Linked DNA regions of Cricetulus griseus. The protein of the gene in region 1 interacts with the protein of each later gene in a biochemical or structural test. Links are inferred from orthologs where the notes say so. Each region holds a gene or a part of one and is shown on either strand. Other genes may lie near its edges. The genes, in order: high mobility group protein HMG-I/HMG-Y-like and Prmt6.

Evidence for each region.
Region 2: of the proteins of high mobility group protein HMG-I/HMG-Y-like (region 1) and Prmt6, one has a biochemical effect on the other in vitro, tested with the Homo sapiens proteins (2 studies listed by BioGRID, with this or other methods). The link is inferred for Cricetulus griseus from reciprocal best matches to the Homo sapiens genes HMGA1 and PRMT6.

The regions. Positions count from the first base shown.
Region 1 is NC_048596.1:201,325,392-201,335,354, reverse strand, and holds high mobility group protein HMG-I/HMG-Y-like, read left to right. Parts: upstream 1-4,257; 5' UTR 4,258-4,334; coding exon 4,335-4,625; downstream 4,626-9,963. Other genes in the region: Capn9 (calpain-9), read right to left, coding at 495-552, 2,467-2,547, 5,880-5,916, 7,911-8,131, 8,281-8,438, 9,527-9,687, 9,918-9,963. UniProt on the Homo sapiens protein: HMG-I/Y bind preferentially to the minor groove of A+T rich regions in double-stranded DNA. It is suggested that these proteins could function in nucleosome phasing and in the 3'-end processing of mRNA transcripts.
Region 2 is NW_023276806.1:46,951,364-46,962,546, forward strand, and holds Prmt6 (protein arginine N-methyltransferase 6), read left to right. Parts: upstream 1-5,885; 5' UTR 5,886-5,940; coding exon 5,941-7,071; 3' UTR 7,072-7,177; intron 7,178-9,291; 3' UTR 9,292-10,908; downstream 10,909-11,183. UniProt on the Homo sapiens protein: Arginine methyltransferase that can catalyze the formation of both omega-N monomethylarginine (MMA) and asymmetrical dimethylarginine (aDMA), with a strong preference for the formation of aDMA.

The DNA.
Region 1 (9,963 bases):
ATATATATATATATATACATATATATATGTATATATATATATGAAAATACATACATGTACACACAAAAGCACACACAGCACAGATAACACACATGCATGCATATATATATATACACATGTAACATGCATAGCACAGACAACAGAGACATATACACACACACACAGCATATATGTATGCATATGTACACACACTCAAGCTTCCAGAGCACAGACCACACATGGTGACAGTGGTTACGTGTAGTCATGAAGTGTGCTGGTTTTTATCTTTGCCACTCACTTTTCTGTAGAAAAGTCTACAGAACACTCTACCAGAAGCCTGCATCATGTGTGCAGTTAGGAATTAAGCAATGAGAACAGTTTTTGCAGTCTGCTTACAGGTCAACTGCAGTGAGCAGGTCCAAGGCTCTAAGGAGCAGAGACTAGGAGAGCTCTGACAATGTGGCCACTCTTCCTTCCTCTCCAGGGAGCCCATCTCCTGTGGGAATGACACTTACTCTTTTGCAGAACGGCATTTAAAACATACTCAAGCTCCTCGGCTGTTACCTCCATGTCCTGTGGAGTAGAGACAACTGTTCTTTATGGTCCTTAGCAATTGTAAGCTTGACTTGGCTCTTTGGAGAGATTGGCCCTGAGGACACTGTGCTGGGAGCTGAGTTCACCTCCATGGTAGCTGCAACCCACTGGTTTCTCAGGGAAGGAGAGACAGCAGCCTGGAAAAACTCTAGAAGGGTGAGGCATGCTGCCCAGTCCCCTGAGGATGCAAGATTCTCTGAGAAGGCTTCAAAAGGCTGCCAGAAACTTTAAAGGGTCAGAAGACGTTTGAAGATCTAGCAGGTCCTTGTTCCTTCTCACAGGAGTACCCAGAGAACCAGAAACACTCCATGTATTGGGGTCTCACCTGCTATTCAAGACAGAAGACCTAGGACTCAGTTCACTGGTTAATATAAAACTTCTAGGGATGAATCCTGGAATCCTCAGTGTAAGAAACTCACTAGCCCTAGTGTCCACAAAGCAAAAGCTGTGAGAGAGACACTGAGGTATTGCCAGAGCCATGGAAGGGAGTCTGCAGTTCTAGGATGCCCAGGCACTTTAAAGAAAATTTTATTGTAGCTTTTGTGTTTGTGTATGTGTGTGTGCTATGGGTGAACATGTATGTGTGTTGAGGTCAGAGGACAACTTTGTGGGGCTGGTTTTCTCCTGCCACTTTTACCTCAGTTCTGGGGATCAAAATCAGGCCACCAGGCTTACATGGCAAGTGCTTATACTTGCTGAACCATCTTGTCAGATCTTGTTTAGTTTTTTTTGAGACAAGGTCTTACTCTGTAGCCCAGGCTAGCCTGAAAATCATTCTGCCTCAGCTTCCCAGGTGCTTGCATGACAGGCACCAGTCACCACATTTGGCTAACTATGTGGTTTTTATGCACATGGAGATCTGGCTAGCTCCTCAATATGCTTGAGTGTTGAACATAGTCACTGTTGACATTATTTTAATATATGCCAGTTGGCTCTTCGACTGAAGCTCCCTGGCCTTTGGGATGCTCAGCTCTCATAAGAAAGTAAATTGCAGTACATGGCTACCCAAGCCAGGGGAGCCACCTAGTTGGATGGAGAGCAGGACAGGGCCTGAGCAGGTAGAATTTCACTCTCAAGGGGGTTGTTATTTGATGCTGCTAATGAAGGTTGAGTGAATGTTCCTGCATTGGTTCCCCACTTCCTTCCAAATGCTGTTCTTCTCCCTCAGTGACTTCTGTCCCTGCCTCATGCATCTGCTCAAGGGCTTGCAGCTCTCATGATGTGGACCAGCCTATCACCTCTGGGATCCTTGGGACATCATTTGACTCTGGAGCTTTACCCCCCTCACCCTCTATCATTCTTTTCCCGGATCTGGACATATGGCTTCATTTCTCTACCAGAGACCACTGCTGCACTTGTTTAAGTATCTGCAAAACAACCAGCCAATAGTGTTCTCCAACTGTGAGAGCACTCCTCCAGACTGCCCCTTTCGATCCAGGAGCCCCAGGCAGGAGAAGGGAGCAAGGTAATACAGTCAGTAGTGTCTGACATGAGCTAATTCACCAGGCTCCTTCCATTATAATCTCCAACGAGGCAGGAACCAGCAGTGGTGTGGGGCCCAGAGCTACATGAGGTTTCATCTCGTCCCCCATAATTGCCAGGGCTCCCCAGAAGGAAACTGAGCAGAGATGGGAATGAGGTGGAAGACCAAGGATCCTAGCCCTAACCCTGTCCCTAACCTATCACTGGTCAACAGAGGTGCATTGAGTTGACACTGTCAACAAGGTGGGACTCAGGCCCCCAGGAACCAGAGCTGGCTTTAATTTGCAACAAGCCCAGAAGGGCTTGGGGAAGTGCTGTTGACAAGTCCATGGTCACAGTCCTCTGCTGGGAACCCAGAGCAGGCCCTTAGCCAAGGTCAGGGTGGAGATAAGGGGGGTAGCTGTATCCTACCTCACCAGCGATTCTCTGGAACAGGGCCCGGAACTGTCTCTCCTCCTCAGTTTCCTCCTCCTGTGGAGTTGGCTTTGGGGGCTGAAAGAACCAAACGAGGTTGTGTAAAGGGCAGAGCAGGGCTCACAGAAGAGAAACCTGACGTGCTTTCTCATACAAATAGCAGAAAAGAAGAGCCCCACACTGGACAGACACTACACTGTTCCTGAAGGAAAAGCCAGTAGAGCTCTTCCCTAGCAGGTGGGAGGCCTTGGGTTCAATCCCCACCCAACAAAAGAAAAGAATGGGAAGCACACAGCACAGAACACAGCTGTCAGCATCAAGCCACTCCACAGAGTTTCATGTGGGAGTTAGAGCAGGGTGCCTTCCCAGCCACAAGGCCAGAGCCGTCATGTCGGGTTCATCCTACATGGCCTGATTTCTCAAAGCTAGATGAACAACTTGGTTTCATCTCAGGAACATGAAGTTCAGCTTGAGTGACCCCGTTTCAGTTGGCCAGAGTAAGAGCTCTGTCTGTACTCACAGAGAGATCCCTACGTTTCACTTAACAGGAACGAGAAGGCTAAGGGTGTCTGGGCCTGACTGGCAGCTTGGCACAGGGCTGCCATGCTCCAGCCTTATCTCCTGATCCATTATCTCTCTTGATAGTCACCTTCCAAGAGTGTCACCAGCACCCAGAGCAGGCGGGCAGATGGCTCAGTACAATTTAAGCGTTTTGCTTTTCTGCAGATTTTGGTCGATTTATAAACTGCAGGCCTAGGGAGGCGGCACGGAGCATCAGGCGTTCCCCCAAAGCAGGTTTTGGTTGCCGGAGGACATTCCCGACTATTTCAGAAGAACTTGGTGAGTCTTCCCCCACCAATCATATAGCCAATATTTATTATACAGCTTTGGATTTCACAATGACATTTTGATTCAAGCATATTATGTAGTTTGACCTTTCTAATTCCTTCATTAGTCTTCCCTGCCCTCCCTGCTAGAGCCCTTCCTCTTTCTGGTTAGATCCTTCTACCTTTATGACACATAGATATATGCACATGTATAGATACATCTTAAGCAATCTTAATGATCTCGAAGCCCCCCACAGCGAGTCCTGTGTTCTTCAAATCAACCAGCCTCATTTTTTCTTTTCTTCTCTCCCTTTTCTCTCCCTCCCTTCTTCTCCTTCTCTTCCTTCCCTCTCTCCTTCTTTCTTTCTTTCCTCTACTTCTCTTCCTTCCTTCCCTCCCTCCTTCCATCTTTTCTCCCCTCTCCTCCTCTCTCCTTCCCTCATCTCCTTCCTTTAGTTTTCTTTTTTATGTGTTTATTTTAAGATGGGGCCTTATATATCCCAGGAAGGTCTTAGGTTTACCCGGTAGGCAAGACTGGCCTTGAATTCCTGACCCTCCTGCCCCCAACCCCCAAAGTGCAGGAATCATAAGTGTGTTCCACCTCAGATATCTTCTTAAATAAATTGGAAATCATTTCACTTCCTTCACAATTAGTAGAGGCCTCTCGGGAGAAGAGGAAGCCCAAAGAAAGACAGCACCTGAGAGAACTTTATCTCAAGTACCCCAAGGCTCCGCCTAGTCCCCTGGGTGATGAGGGATGGGAAACAAAAGCCCTGGCCTCTGGGTTAGAAACAGCTAGGTTGCTTACCTCACCACAAGCAACCAGCTCCCGAATTTGATTTTTGAGAGGAACTGTGGTTTGAAAGAAGAGTTCTAGCTTTTTTTTTTTTCTTTTTTTTTTTTCTTAGCTCCCCTGAGCCGTGCTGTGCTCCTCTAACTGTGCTCCCCGACTCCGGAGTCGGGGCTATTTCTGGTGTTGGCGCTGCTCCAAGAAGGCCATCACAGCCAGTGCCCCCTACTGTCCCGTAGAGAAGGAAGATGAGCGAGTCCAGTTCAAAGTCCAGCCAGCCTCTGGCCTCCAAGCAGGAGAAGGACGGGACTGAGAAGCGAGGCCGGGGTAGGCCGCGCAAGCAGCCTCCGAAGGAGCCCAGTGAAGTACCAACACCAAAGAGACCTCGGGGCCGACCAAAGGGAAGCAAAAATAAAGGTGCTGCCAAGACACAGAAAGCTACCAGAGCTCCAGGGAGGAAACCAAGGGGCAGACCCAAGAAACTGGAGAAGGAGGAAGAGAAGGGTATCTCCCAGGAGTCCTCGGAGGAGAAGCAGTGACCATGCACAGTGCCGCCTGCTCTTTGGCCATCGAAGGAGCAGCTTTCCCTTGGGACTGGAAGCCCTGCTTCCAGGCCCCTCCCCACCCCCACTGCACACTACCGCACCAGCTGCAGGCTCTGGGGGCACCGACCTGAGCAGGATTTGGCTCAGCCCATGTGCTCTCCCAAACACACCTGCCCCCTCCCGACAAGGCTAACTTCCCATTTAGCCGCAGCCTGTGGTGCTGCGCACCTCTCTTAGAGAGAGTGGTCTCTGGGCTCTTTGTTTTGCAGGCCCTTTCTGCTCTGCTCTTCCCGGCTTCCTTGTAGAGGGAGGGTCCTGAGAGCATTCCCTGGCTTTAAAGGGCCGCAGCCCCATCTGACAAGTCCCATTGACTGGCCTAGCATCAGGTGTGGTCAGTACTGGGATGCTTAGATCCCAACATGCCCTCCCCTACCAAACTGTCACCAGGTGGGTTTCTCAGCCACTTCTGCCCCACCTTACCTAGGCCCTGACTAGGTTGGCTAGAGCCCCTTGGGCTACAGGAAGTAGGACATGATGACCCCGCCCACCATGTTCTCACCTGGGACCCAATGCAGCGACAGATGGGAGTCACCGCCCATCTCCAGGGTGATGTCCCCCTGAGGCAGTTGGGGCGCTAACTCACCCTCTCCGACTCTAGGCTGTTTCCCTTCCTCCAGAGCGGCACTAAGGAGCTAACCTTGCCCACCTCCTTTTGCTCCTCCCTGCCCCCCTGCCCCTCCCCGCCCAGGTTCTGATTCATCTTTTCCTCTGTTCACAAATTACCTCTGGACAGTTGTGTTGGTTTTTTTGTTCAGTGTTCATTCTTAGACACCCACCATTGCTGCTGCTACCAGCGCCAAAAGTTCATCCCCCCTTTCTGCTTTCATTCTCCCCAAGACACTCTAGGGGCAAAGGGGGCTGGGCACAGCAGGCTGGTTACCAACCACCCCAGGGAAGATGGGGCCTTGTCCCTTGGATGGTGCAGCAGAGTGAGGAGGCCGGCCCAATTTGATGGGAAAAGGGTGTAAGACCATCTCCTCCTCTTGTTCTGTGGGGGAGGGGTGGCCAGTATTTGTCCCAGCCTGGGGCTCCCCCTCTGGTTTCCTATTTGCAGTTACTTGAATAAAAAAAAAAAAAAAAAAAAAAAAAAAAACCTTTTCTGGAAAAAAAAAAAAAGAAAGAAAGAAAGAAGAGTTCTAGAACCTTCAGCTGAACCGCATTCCCCCGCAGCCACACCAGAGGACTCACCTCAGGGAGATCAATGTCTGTGTTCTCATCCAGGTCCCTGCAGTGGCAGAAAGCACACCGTCTCAGTTGTGGACATGCATCCCATGGGACTAGAGCTATGGAGAGGTCCTGGCCTGTCAGAGCCCTCTTATTCAGTACTTTGTTTCTCATGGGGTTGGCAATGCCTCCCTGCACCAACACCCCATCCCCAGTCTTTCAACCCTGCCCAGTGTGCCAGAGAGAAGGAGACTGGCATGATCCTAACTCAAAGACAACTTGCAATCCTGAGCACATGACAACAGGAGAAGCACTTCCTGCCTTCCTGATGCACTCTAAAGAGGGCTCTTGGGGTGATCTTGGCTCCTCGAAATATCCATAAGCTCTGCCTCCATAGGGGACGTACATTATCAGAGACCAGCCACTTGGCCTGCTCAGCATTGTTCCTTCTTGGGTGGGTTCTGAATTGCACAGAAAGGAGAAAGCCCACTGAGCAGCGGCATCCATCTCTCTCTGCTTCTTGATTGCACATGCAATGTGAGCAGCTGCTTTGAGCTCCTGCTCCTGCCCTCCTCCACTAACATGGAAATAATGCACCTAGAATTGTGAGCTTAAAAATTAAACCTTAAATTGCTCTTGCCAGGGCATTTTATCACAGCAATAGGAAACATAATCAAGACACTGTTCCCTCCCTCATCATTCCCTGAACACTCATGGGATTATCCCCCCAGAAAGGCTGAAGGTTAGGGCCCTCCCTGAGATCCACACCAACAGACAGAGCTTGCTATATCCCCTCTGATGAACACACAGTGCTGGCTTGGGCCCTGCATCATAGTGGGAACTTAGGGCTCAACTTTCAGTCTTCTAACAGGATAGTAAGCAAAGGCTTAGGACTGGTGTCACCTGGCTCTGTCCTGTACTGGCCACTCACAGGATATGGTCATCTTGGGCTTATATAGGCATTATGTGGGAATGGATGCTGAGAAACCCATCCTTGACTTGTATCAGCATCCAGAAGAATACTGGAGAAATGTGACGACTTCATTGCTTCTATTTGGCCAAGGAAAAGGACTGTGCTTTGGTCCTCCACTGAGAATCCTAGCCACACTTTGGAACCAGGGGCCCGCCCTCTCATTACACACTGCCAGTCTTGTTCTGCCTTACTATACAGAAGGTAGACAAGAGTGGTGAGCCCACAGCCATCTCTCTTCACATATCTGAGGATGTTGGTTTCTTTTGGAGCTTTATCTGGAATTCTCTAGATCAGTGGTTCTCAACCTTCCTGATGCTGTGACCCTTTAATACAGTTCCTCATATTGTGGTGACCCTCAACCATAAAATTACTTTCCTTGCCACTTTATAACCATAATTTTGCTACTGTTGTGAACTGTAATGTAAATATTGGATATGCAGGATATCTAATATGTGACCACAGTGAAATGGTCATTCAGCCCCTAGGGGTTGTGCCCCATGGGTTGAGAATCATTGTGATGGTATTCCCTAGTTTAGGAAGTGAGTTCTTATATTTCCCCCTATGCCACAAACACAGTCACTAATGGTGAATGACCGCAATGAAAAATGTTAGCAACAGGAGGAACTAATTTGAAAGACTACTTTTAAGACTCCTGAGCACAGCCAGGGCACGAGGTGGCAGTGTGAAATGGTTCACACTCACTGGTGGGTGTTTAGACTGGAGCTGAAAAACTGTGTGATTCTGGAAACTTCCAGTAGTCACTTTCACCATCATGTGCATAAACATACTTAGTATCCTTAAATGAGACCCTTCCCCCATTCTAGAAGTTTCTTGGAAATTGGGGCTGAGAAACAAATGACTATACCCCAAAGGCCTGGTAAGCATGACTCCAGGAGCAAGTGAGTTGTCACTGGTGTCAGGAGAAGGGACCTGTAGCTAGGGGAGTTCTTTGTACCCATCACTTCCTGAGCAGGTGACAGGAGAGGAGGATGCAGATCTAGCTCTGCTAGACAGACGTCTCCCTGGTGGTCCAGAAGTACAGCGCACACTGAGGGAGGGCTCTCCAACCCCCTGCTCCTCACCGAGTAACTGCTCTCTTCTCAGAGAAGATTCTCAGGCAGAAGTCAGCTTCCTGGTGTGGCTCAAAGGTGCTAGGGATGAGGACATAGTCTCCCGGGGGCAGCTGGAAGCGGCCTGAGACTTCTCTCAAGTTGATGAATGTCTTGCTTCGTGCCAGGGAGGCATTGTACCTGAAAAAGTCCCTGCTCAGGTGTCCATCCTTGTCCTGGTCTTTGTCCGGGCACTGCAAGGGGAGGAGAGGTGATCAGGGAGACATGGCTCTGATCTTCATCCTGAGTTGGAGAATTGGCTATCTATCCATCATGGCACAGAGTCCAGAAGCACAGGGGACTCAAAGCCCTTGCAGGGACACTGAGAGCAGCTGGCCCCTACCTGGTAAATGGCATAGCCAATGGTCAGCATGTTGGCACCAAACCTCTTGAGCTTCCTGCGGTCTTTCTGCATCAAGGCTGCTAGAAATGTGCAGCCATCCTGGCCCTCGTCCTTCTCAGTTAAGGACAGCTTTATCTGTGGGTTGGTCCAGAAGGTGTCTGCATTTGAAAGGGGGTAGATTACTATCCCTTCCTTAAAAATACAAAATCATAGCTCAGATAACAAGGTGCTTGCTGGGCAGGCACCTGAATTCAATTCCCCAGAACCTATCCTCCCACACACCAAAAACAAAATAAACAACAAACAAAATCTCAGTAGGATGGCTCAGCTGATAAAGGCATCTTCTGTCAAAGCTGATGACCTGAGACCCACAAGATAAAGGGAGAAAGCCAACTCCCAGAAGCTGTCCTCTAACCTCCATGGGTGTACCATGGAATGCACACACACACACACACACACACACACACACACACACACACACACACACACACACACACACCCCAAATGTGATAAATGAAAACACCAGACAGGTATAGTGCATGCATTTAGTGCTGGGGATGTGGAATCAGGCAGATTCCTGGTGCTCACTGGCCAGCCAGCCTAGCCTACTTAATGAGCTGGCCAGTAAGAGACCCTGTATCAAAAACAAGGTGGTGACTTTGAGGAGTGACAGCCAAGGTTGTCTCTTGTTTTTAAACTCACAGGAACACCCAGAAAAAATTACAAAATAAAAATAAAAACCTGACACATGGGCTTACACATGTGAGCACACATAATATTAACACAAAGAAAAAAAATTACGAGACCCGCATTAAAAGAACACATACACTCTCTACTGTACCCTCGCTGCTTGTTTCTAATCCTGAATAAGTGGTCTCTTCTCTCTCTGTTCCCATTAGCCCTCTCGCCCTACTTTCTTTATACTTAGAAATACTCCAAACTCCTGGCTTCCACTTCCTCCACCTTTTCATCCATTACCCTCACAGCCCTTAAAGGCTCTGATGCCTGCCCCATATCCACGTTAGGCAGTAGATCCTTTCCCCTCACTAACCTGGTGTGACTTGTAGTTTCGTCACCTGAACCTTACAACAGTGCATTTCCCTGAGTGTCTCTTGCCAGCTTCCTGCCTAAGGTTCAGCTGTCATCCCCTGAGCTTGCTGTCCAGCTCCACACAGACTGTCCCTTCCATGTCCCCAGATAGATTGGATATGGGAATAGGAGACAGAAGGACAGAGAGGCCACCTACTCAGGAAGTTGCGGCAGCCGCCAGCTGTGGAGCCACGGACCCAGCTTCCTTGGTGGACGGTCACCTCCCACCTGTGGAGGGCATTGTCCTCCAGGGCATCTGGTGTGAGGTTACAGATCTCTACTTTGTCAAAATGGGTCTTGAAGTCCTCGAATGCCATCCTGAGATGGGGGGCGGGTATCATCAGAACATCATTGCGATGGCACCAGCTGTCTGTACAGTTAACCCTCTTCCTGGGGAGGGGAGACACCGGGGTCTCTCCCCGAAGGAGGGAGACAGGGAGAAAGAGAGAGGGAAGAGAGAAGGGGATGAGGAAGCAAAGGGATAAAGGAGAGTGGTTGTTGGATACCAGAGCCCTGACTGCAAGCAAAAATGCAAAGGATGACATTACCAAAACTCCCCATCGTCGAGAGCAGAGTGACCCAGGCGCTTCTGCT
Region 2 (11,183 bases), on another chromosome or scaffold:
ATACACCAAGAACACAACATATACTTAGTTTTTTTTGTTTGACATTCTTATTCAAACACAAAAAATAATCACCTTGTATTGTTATTTCTACAAAGGACTTTCTTTTTCTTGACAGAAGTGCCTCTTTTGATGCTGGAAGCTTTGTAGTAACTGCAGAGTGGCAAGAACTACATTACTAAATGAATATTCATATCAAAGTGATATTTATAACATTTTCCATGTCAGTGCTCTTTAACCCTTCTTCAGCACACACTTTGAGAATTACAATGAATTCTTGAAATACTGTAGGAAATCTCTCCAATCTCTATAGTAAGTTTTAAAATACATTTTAAACTGTAGATCCTTATATCAGGGAGAAATAAGAAGCAGTTATTTGTGGGGAAAAACCACATCAGGAAATCCAAGATGAAAATAGTACAGAAAAGAGAGCTGACATGCAAATGGCATACTAATTTGCATATAAACATTCACAATAGAATACAAGCTCCTCCAGCAGAGGAAAGGGTTTCTCTCTTTCTGTTTATTGGGATGTTTCTTGATTGTAGAATATTTAGTGCAGAATAGACACCCAGGATACTTGTTGAATAAATGGATGACTGAATAAACCCATTAATTGTGTGATGCCAAAGATCAATTTGAGACTTTCTCAGTCATATAAAACAAACACAGCAATGACCCTATGATTCCAGAATCAACAATCTGCAGTGTGGAATTGCCTGGGACTCCCAAACAACGTACCAAGTTCTCAATATAAAAGTGAAAATACATAATCTTGATATTCAGATGGCTACAATATGAGATGGGAAAAACATGCAAAATGCTCCCAGGTGATATGGAAAAGCACTCTAGAACTTCAGACCAATTGAACAGCCTACAAAGGTTTTATGTTTGAGTATCATGTAAAACTATGAAGGTGGAGACAATTGAATAGCAACCTGTATTAGTCAAGGTTCTCTGGAGGAACATAACTGATAGAATTAATACACACACACACACACACACACACACACACACACACACACACAGAGAGAGAGAGAGAGAGAGAGAGAGAGAGGGGGGGGGAGAGAGAGGCCCAGAGGCTATGGTCTGGCTAGTCCAAAAATGGCTGTCTCACTGAAATGCCTAGAATCCAGGAGTTGTTCAGGCCACAAGGTTGGATGCTTCAGCTGGTCTTTGGTCTATGTAGAAGTCCTAAAGTAGATTCTAATATCAAAGTAGGAGTGCTTTAGCAACAGTATAGATGAACTTGTATCCAGATTGAGAATAAGCAGGCAAAAAGCAAAAACATTTTGTTTTCCATGCCCTTTATGTGGGCTGCCACAAGGTGTAGCCAGGATTTTAGGGTGGGTCTCTCAACCTTAAAAGATCCAGGTTTTGGGTAGGTCTTCTCAATGGTCCAATTTAGAAATATCCCTCATGGGTGTGCTCAATTGCTTGGGTTTTAGTTGATTCCAGATATAGTCAACTTAACAAACAAGATTAGCCATCATAAACCCCAAAGAGAAGATGTGGACATATTAAAGTTCAAAAGCCATGGAAAATAGTAAAATAGCTGTGGATGTTAAAGTCTTTAACATAAAGCAAGAAACACATATACTATACTCAACTAAAGCAGGTTTTATGAAACAATAGCTAGCCTTTATCATTTCGTAGTTTTAATATTTTCCATTCTAATTGCTAGTTAAAATACACTGTTTCAAAGTCCATTTGTTTGAAAAATCATTGGGTTTCCTCACTAGATGGATGTGAAGGTATACCACTACAAAGGAAATAGGAAGAATAATCGGCCAGCACAGCCACAACTCCCTTCCTGTCTAGAGGACTCAGTAGTGTAAGAGTTCCTATTGACCTTCAGTGCTGAGACAGTTATTATCTGGATCCCTTTCCCACTCCAAAATATTTCATGTAGTAGAATGAGCAATGAATTCCCTCTCTATGGCAAGCCAAGATATAGAAGAGGGAAGTGTTACAGGCCTTTTCTTCTCTATACTTTGTATTTGTGGCCTTATCATCATTCTGCCTACAAGAGAAGGTAAAATGAAATAATTCTCATTTCTGAGAAGATCTTGAATTCAATCTATACTTGAATTTACCTAAGTTTTCCAGCATGATATAGAGACATGCTCATACTTAACAAAACTTGAGTTCTTCATCTGGATGAAAACATGATTGTTTATCCACAACAGTCCAGTCAAAATCACTCAATGTGTCATCCCCAGGTGTCTTGTACTCCCTGCTAGGGACTATAACATAAGTTCAAATCTCATGGAATTTACCTTGCTTAGAAAATAAATTAAGTAATTAGATATAAACAGTTAATAACAATAGCTATGAAGGAAAAACACCGGCATCTTGGATGGGAAAATATTAGACAAGGAAGGCATTCTGTGTCAGGCCACTTTTGTGAGGTGATAAAGAGGGAGTTCTTTTCTGGGCTTTGGCCACACATAAGTGGATATGGGACCCAGAAAAGAAGTATTGGTGTTAGAAGATCAGTGAGTGTGTCTTGATCCCACTGATGAGTCAGCAGTGCTGCTATGAGGTAAGATGGAAATCACCTGAAGTTACCTGTTTCTCTCAATCAGAGAACAGGAAATCCCTCAAGTGATATGAGCTTAATCTTTCTTTCTTTCTTTCTTTCTTTCTTTCTTTCTTTCTTTCTTTCTTTCTTTCTTTCTTTTGAATTTTTCAAGACAGGTTTTCTCTGTATTGCTTTGGAACCTGTCCTGGAACTCACTCTGTAGACCAGGCTGGCCTCAAACTCACAGAGATCTTAATGCCTCTACCTCCCAAGTGCTGGGATTAAAGGCTTGTTCCCGAAAGCTTAATGTATTTTTGTAATGCTCACATGTGCAAGCTATGAAGAATGGGTTAGTTAGGGGTGTGGGTAGTAGGAAGGAGATTCCTTTGGAGACTGATTGATTGCCAGGCTAGAAAGACACCTCCATCTTCAACAGGGTTAGATTTTTCTGAGGAAAAAAAAAAAAACGAAAAAAGCAAATGAACCAACAAAATGTTGTTTAGAATATTTTCACAAGAACCACAAAGAAGCAAAGTGAAAACTGGATTGATAACAAACTCATTCTGAGGGTGGTGGTGGTATACGCCTTTAATCCCGGCACTCAAGAAGCAGAGAAAGGCAGATATTGTGAGTTCAAGGCCAGCCTGGTCTACAAAGCTGCACCGAGAAACCCTGTCTTGAAAAAACAAACAAACAAACAAACAAACAAACAAAAACCACTCTGAATAAGGGAGATGGTTCAGTAGGAAAAACCCTTACAGCCAAGCCTGGAGACTGGAGTTGGTTCCCAGGTACCACATGAAGAGGAAAGCGCCAGCTTCCTCAGTTGTCCTTTGGCTTCCACAAGCATACCATGGCATTTACGTGTATGCACACATGTATAATAACACAACTTAATTAATTAATGCAATAGCTTTTAAAAATCAGAATATTTAACATATCCCAAAGGAAAATGACACTTTAAGGACAGAGTGGAAGCAGTATAAGCTAGGTTAAAGCCTAATGTGTGTTATAAAATTCTCACATTTATAACTAATCTCATGTCCCATTCTGGGTATCATTTGTTAAAATAAGATATTAAAACAAGGTAAAAAGAAGAATACCTGTTTTAAGGATTTTCAGTTGTAAGTTGCTGAGCCCTGACTGTTGGAAATAATGATATAAGATTTAACTAATGAAATTAAATCAGAAATAGCAATAATTACCTGGTTTCACACGAGGATTCCCTAGGGAGCTTTAAAAGCTAGATGCCTAAGTTCCCCTGAGTGATTCTCATTTAACTGGGCTGAGGTAGATCCTGCCATAGATATTTCGATAAAGTTCCTTGGAGTATTCTAATGAGCCACCAGGACTGAGAGTCCTGAGTTTAGAAGTACAGTTGAGGAATTCACATGGATAAACCTATTTCATTAGTGAAATTCTATCACCAGGAAGTTTAGCATAGATAAACAAGTATTTTAACACAAGAAAACAAAGGCCCATTTTCTTTTGTGGGATTAATTTTTAAGCTTGGAAAATAATGTTATTCTTGTTAAAGAAACATTTAGTTACCAGTGAAGAGCACAGAGGTCCAGACCAGGCTGGTGAAACCCACAGAAACAGCTGACCTGAACATCTGGGAGCTCTTGCTCCCCAGACTGACAGATGGGAAACCAGCATGGGACTGATCCAGACCCCAGGAACATGGGTTTCTGTGAGGAAACCTCAGAAATCTATGGGACCTCCTGTAGAAGCCCAGTATTTATCCCTAGTGTAGGTGTGGACTTTGGGAGCCCATTCCATGTGGAGGAATACTCCCTGAGCCAAGACACACACACACACACACACACACACACACACACACACACACACGGGGGGGGGGGAGCCTAGGCCCTATCCCAAAGGATAGAAAGACTCTGATGACACCCTATGGAAGGCCTCACCATCCAGGGGGAGCACAAAAGACATGTGACAGATAAGATTGTCTTGTAAAACAATCCTGTTTCTAATTCAAATTTAAAAAGTTAGAAAAAAATCAAAAAACAGAAGTCAATTAAAGGTAAGAAGTAATTAAAAACTAAAAAAAAAAGAAAAAAAGAAACAGTTGTCGGATGGTGGTGGGGGCACGCCCTTAATCCCAGGACTCGACGCCCTTAATCCCAGGACTCGGGAGGCAGAGGCAGGCGGATCTCTGTGAGTTTTGGACCAGCCTGGTCTTTGAGAGCTAATTCTAGGACAGCCTCCAAAGAAGCCCTGTCTCAACAAACCAAAAAAAAAAAAAAAAAAAACCATTTAGTCATATAAAAAGCTTTGCTTACATGTATGGGTATGGGTATTCTGTCTGCATGTTTGTCTGTGGACCACATACCTACTTGGAACTCTTAGAGGCCAGAAAAGGTCAGCAGATACCCTGGGACTGAAGTTAAAGCCAGTTGTGGGCCTTCATAAGGATGCTGGTAGTCCATCCTGGGTCTTCAGGAAGGGCAGCCAGTGCTCTAAATTCCTGAGCATTCTCTCCAGCTCCAGACAGCAAATATTTAAAAATTATTGTACTTCTGTTATGGACAATGAAAAGATATTAACAGTTCCTGCTTGAATGACGAAAAAAATAAAAGGAAACAGACATCGGGGTTTACAAAGCAAACTGCGTTGAAAAAGTAGTCAAAAGACAAGAATTCCATCATTCCCTCAAGAAAAATATGTATAGATATATAGATTTATGTATATCTGTATGTGTTTATGTATAAACTGGTTACTAGATACTCACTAGTAATGGTTTTGGGTTTGAGAGTATCACACGACAGACTTTAATTGTTCTTTAGTTTGAACCATAGGAGTTTTAGAACAGGGCTCAAGTCGAAGTAAACTATTCTCCAGAAACACAATGGTGGGTGAAAAGGCATTTGGTGGCCACAGCAGTTCTACTACTTGGCCGGGATCTTTCAGTCCATTGGGGATCATTTTGGACTCAGAACCAAGATCCTGTGTTGTTAGGTTTTCACTTTGCCCCACTTACACATTCTTTGCAACCTAACTACAGCTAGAACAGAGAGCTTGATGAGTTACAAGTGCCGGGGAAGGGATCTGAACCGTGCCACCTCAATTCAGTAGTGGCACTGAATTGGTGGGCATCCCCATGAGGGAGCAGAGATTCATAGTTGTGAGTAGGTGTGCCTTTTCAAGAATAGGTGAAACGGATAGAGACCGAGGGACAAACGGAAAGAGCAAAAACTCAAAGAACCCCAGCATAACAGCGTGGTCGTAGGGGAAAAGTATGTAAAGTTTTACAATGCCCTGTAGTCCAATGAGATCCTCAGCGCGCATCCACCCTAAAGAGGTGGGATAACCAGCGGGGACTACAAATCCCAGCAGCCCCCGGGACTCGGAGTCCGCTCGCCGCACCGCGCAACGCCTGCTGGGGGCCGGCTGCCTGGGCCAAGATGTCGCTGATCAAGAAAAGAAAGCTTGAGTCGGGGGGCGGCGGCGGCGCAGGAGGGGAGGGAGCCGAGGAGGAAGATGGCGGGGAGCAGGAGGCAGCCCCGCCACGACCCCGGAGGACCAAGCGCGAGCGGGACCAGCTGTACTACGAGTGCTACTCCGACGTCTCGGTCCACGAGGAGATGATCGCCGACCGCGTCCGCACCGACGCCTACCGCCTGGGCATCCTGCGGAACTGGGCCGCGCTGCGAGGCAAGACCGTGCTGGACGTGGGCGCGGGCACCGGCATTCTAAGCATCTTCTGCGCCCAGGCCGGCGCCCGGCGCGTGTACGCCGTGGAGGCCAGCGCCATCTGGCAACAGGCCCGGGAGGTAGTGCGGCTCAACGGGTTGGAAGACCGCGTGCACGTCCTGCCGGGCCCCGTGGAGACGGTGGAGCTGCCGGAGCAGGTGGACGCCATCGTGAGCGAGTGGATGGGCTACGGGCTCCTGCACGAGTCCATGCTGAGCTCCGTGCTCCACGCGCGGACCAAGTGGCTGAAGGAAGGCGGTCTCCTCCTGCCGGCTTCCGCGGAGCTTTTCGTGGCCCCGATTAGCGACCAGATGCTGGAATGGCGTCTGGGTTTCTGGAGCCAGGTGAAGCAGCACTATGGCGTGGACATGAGCTGCCTGGAAAGCTTCGCCACGCGCTGCCTCATGGGCCACTCGGAGATCGTGGTGCAGGGTCTGTCCGGCGAGGACGTGCTGGCCCGGCCGCAGCGCTTTGCCCAGCTCGAGCTGGCCCGCGCCGGCCTGGAGCAGGAGCTGGAGGCCGGTGTAGGCGGGCGCTTCCGCTGCAGCTGCTATGGCTCGGCGCCTCTGCACGGTTTTGCCATCTGGTTCCAGGTGACCTTCCCTGGAGGGGACTCGGAGAAACCTCTGGTGCTGTCCACCTCGCCTTTTCACCCGGCCACGCACTGGAAGCAGGCGCTCCTCTACCTGAATGAGCCGGTGCCGGTGGAACAAGACACGGACATTTCTGGAGAGATCACTCTGCTGCCCTCCCGGGACAACCCCCGACGTCTGCGCGTCCTCTTGCGCTACAAAGTGGGGGACCAGGAGGAAAAGACCAAAGACTTTGCCATGGAGGACTGAGCCTTGCCTTTTCTCCCACCCACCTTCTTCGGAAGGTCCGAAGAGGAAGGGAGAGTGACTTCAGTCTTCATTTGAGGACATTCTTCTGGCAATGTTTATTTAAAAAGTGAGCCTCCCTGACCAAGGACTGGTGCAGTGTGCTTATTAATGTGCTTTTAAGTCTGGAAAGCATGTAGTGTCAAACTTGTATTTCTGTTTCTTTGGTTTCACTTTGGGGGGCGGGTGGGGGAAAAAATATGAGTTTATAAATTGGCCGAGCACCAATCTGACACCTCCTCCCTTATCTCAATATGAAACTGGGAAGAAGAGCAAAATGGCTCGATTAGATTTCAGAAATTTCAAATCATTTTTAGAGTGTTTTGGTTTTGTTTTGGGTCTCTGAATTCTCTCAAGTCCTAGGTGGCTGTAGGATGAGGTACCTTGTGTTCTAGTTAAAACTCATCTGGTTAGTGAGGAACTGGAGCACTCGTGAAGTACTTTAATTAGCCCTCTTCTCATTACTCTTAATCCGTGGGGTGCTAAGTTTGATGCTCACAATAATCTTAGTAAAATGACTAATTGTACAGCCCGTCTAGGCAACTCTTAAAGGAGAAGAAATTTGGAAGTGAAATAATATGGGTTTGAATATCCTTATTTTTACTTTTAAGACTGAGCCAAGAAAATTTCATATATGTTTTATAAAAAATATTTTATGATTCTTGTAAAGCCGACTGACAAAGATTGCTGAACACAACCCAAGAGTGTATGTATTCTTTACCTCATGTGCGTTATCTAAACTCATTTGGAAGGAACATAAGTGTCCTACTTACAAGCTCCTTTCTTCAGTTCTTTTTAGTTCAGCCAAACGGGAACATTGTGAATTTGGGGAAACCACTCTTAATGAAGTGTGAGTCATGTTATCAAATTTATTTCACTGACGTTTTTTCCCTCATTTCTGTGGCAAATAAAATGGCATTCTCACTTTTTATAGTTGAGGTCTTAAGACGTTTTGTGTACCATCTATGAGTTTATTATAATGCTGTACCCAAGTCTTAATAGTGTCAGTTCTTAAGTGTTACAGCTCCTGCAGAACACAGCTGGAAGACAATTCAAATTATGATTAGCACGGTTTTTAATTCTTTTGGAAAGTTTAACAGAAAGCAGTTCTGAAAACTGGTGATCTTGAGTACTCTTGAATTTTAGTTTCTGTAATCTTACTCTGTTTTTGGCTTTTTTATTCATTGCACATTAAATTGCTAAAATATCAAAGCTAATTTTCTGAGCTCTGTTTTGAAGAGAAATATACAAATATAAAGCCTTCTGTGTTTCAAAACAGTCAAGCACTCCAGTAAAATCTTAAAATTTTGATGTCAAATACTTAACATCTTTTAAAAATGCTTGGTCTGGAAATTTAAAAGCTAGTTCCTTTGGGATCATCTACGTCTTTAATCAAGCCTTCACCTGGAGTGATTGCTGATGCTTTTGATTGACCTTTCGTATTTGAATGTGTTCTGTGGACTCCCTCTTTTCGGCATATTTTGTAAATACAAGTACTGTATTGGGGGGTGGGGGGGAGAAAAAAGGACAAGAAGGAAAATCCAGTTAAAATTTGGGAGGGTGTGAAAAGAGATTAGATTTTTCTGACTGAACAAAGTAAGTTTCCAAATTCTAGTTATATTTTCTCGAAAGAAAGACAAATTAGACAAATGGGGGTGCTGAAGCAGGCACTAAAGGTGAGAAGCAGGGTGTAGTGCTTAAGGCCTAGAGCCAAAAAATCCAAACATACTTGTGTACCTTCAAGCATACTAGCACATCCCCCCACCCCACCCCCACACACACACAATTTTTTTTTTTTTTTTTTTTTTTTGGTTTTTTTGAGACAGAGTTTCTCTGTATAGTTTTGGAGCCTATCCTGGTACTCGTTCTGGAGATCAGGCTGGCCTTGAACTCACAGAGATCCACCTGCCTCTGCCTCCCAAGTACTGGGATTAAAGACGGTGCGCCACCAACGCCTAGCCACACTTTTTTTCTTTTCGAATCCCTCATGTAAACTGGAGATAATAATAGTACCTACTCCACAGACAATTGGGGATATGAGTAATTAATATAGGTAACCCAGAAGTAAGCTTTCAGTTCCATGGTGCTGAGTTTGTGTAAAAGGCAACCCTAGAGCTGTCTGAGGCTACATACAAAATGTGCTACAGAATAAATACTCACTTTGTTTTTCTTTTTCTTTTACAGGCACCTTTTGACATTATCAACATGACTATACAAGAAGAGCAGCATATGCCACTGAGTACCACAGGATCCAAAGAGTGCCGCAGCCTTTGGAATGAGCACACTTGGGAGGGATGAAAGCTAGAGGCGTGTGGACACCCAGGCACTGTCTGATATGTTATGTGGATTGGGACTGGTAACGTGGAGCCCTCAAGGTTCCAGGCCTAGATTACCAGACCCAAGAGAGAGCATTATGGTAAAGTTCACCTACCTCCCTCACAGCTTACATTCATTTAACACTGTGGAAACTCCTATTTTTTCCCATTTATTGAGCCAATGAGCGTAGTTAAAACTACAATCTAATAGTCATTGTGATAGGTATTTGGGACTACAAACTAAAAGAATCTGAACTCTGCCCTCTAATACATAACTGCCACTAGAGAAACTAAAAGCCATGATGATAGGATGGGCTGGTTTTAGTGTCAGAAAGTATATATTTATTATTTTACACATTAAGTAAAAAGGTTTCTATAGAAATTGATTTGCATATATATATATACATATATATATATATATATCTTATATGTATAAATACTTTATTGTTTTGTGAGATGGAATCACAAGTAGTGCATCACTGTCCTGCAACTCACAATGTAACTGACAATGACTTTGGACTCTTGATGTTCCTGGCTCCACCTTCCAGATGCTGGAGTTAACAGCCCTGTACCACTGTGCCCAGCACACACCTAATTCTTCAAAGTTAGATCTTAAGCACAGCTCTTTGACTTCCTTAGCCTGAACAACAATTCACTGTCATTGATCCTTCGTATTTCAGTAGAGAACAGAACACTACAGACCACCATAATGGTAACAAAGGTTTAATTATTTGATGATAAAGGAAAAGTTTAGTGCTAGAAAGACTCAACAGATGAGTCTAGACCTTCCTGGATCGTCTGCAGGGTACAACTCCTTGAGTTTGAAATAGTAGCCACTCACTGGGACAACCCCTATTTTTATTTCCCTAACAGTTAATCAAAGGTAACACTCTGGGGTCCTCAGGAAACTGAATCCATGACAGTAGCAAAGGCAAGTGAACTCCTTGTCACGTTGGCTGAGGGGCAGCTGATAGCTCTCAAGGAGATACAGAAAATGGAATAAGGAGTTGGGGAAGGTAGACATCAAAGTTGCCTGCTGCAAACAGCTGCCAGCCCTGCTGTTATCCCCACAGTTTACACCACCCAGTACCTAGGATAGATGGTACCTAGGGAGCATTTGCAAACACAGGCCACATGCCCCCCATATGGTCATCTATGTATGTTTCTCCATTAATTTTATTAACAACAACTACATAGTGTTTAAGCACTATAATAAGTACATCCTCCTCTGAAACATCTAGAATACAATGGGAACAATAAAATGACATCAGTCATTCTTGTCCGTCCATAAGCCTGGAAACCCTTTCCAGTTCTTAGCTCTGCTGAGCCAACTTGGAAAGGCAGTTCTCATCCTTTAAGCCTCTCCAAGGATTGAAAAATCCTCTTCCTACCAATAGGTAGATTGTGAACACTATAACACAGAGGGTATATTAAATGATAGCTCTTCCTTGGCTACTAAAACAAATAAAATTCTAAGACAAATCTATATCCAGTTCTCTCTCTCTCTCTCTCTCTCTCTCTCTCTCTCTCTCTCTCTCTCTCTGTGTGTGTGTGTGTGTGTGTGTGTTATCGTGTGTGTATGTCTGTTTCTGTGTGCATGTGTGTCTGTCTTTGTGAGCATGTATGTCTGTTTCTGTGTGTTTCTCTGTATGTGTCTATTTCTTTTTTTTTTTTTCTTTTTTTTTTTTTTTTTTTTTTCCGGTTTTTCGAGACAGGGTTTCTCTGTATAGCTTTGGAGCCTATCCTGGTACTCGCCCTGGA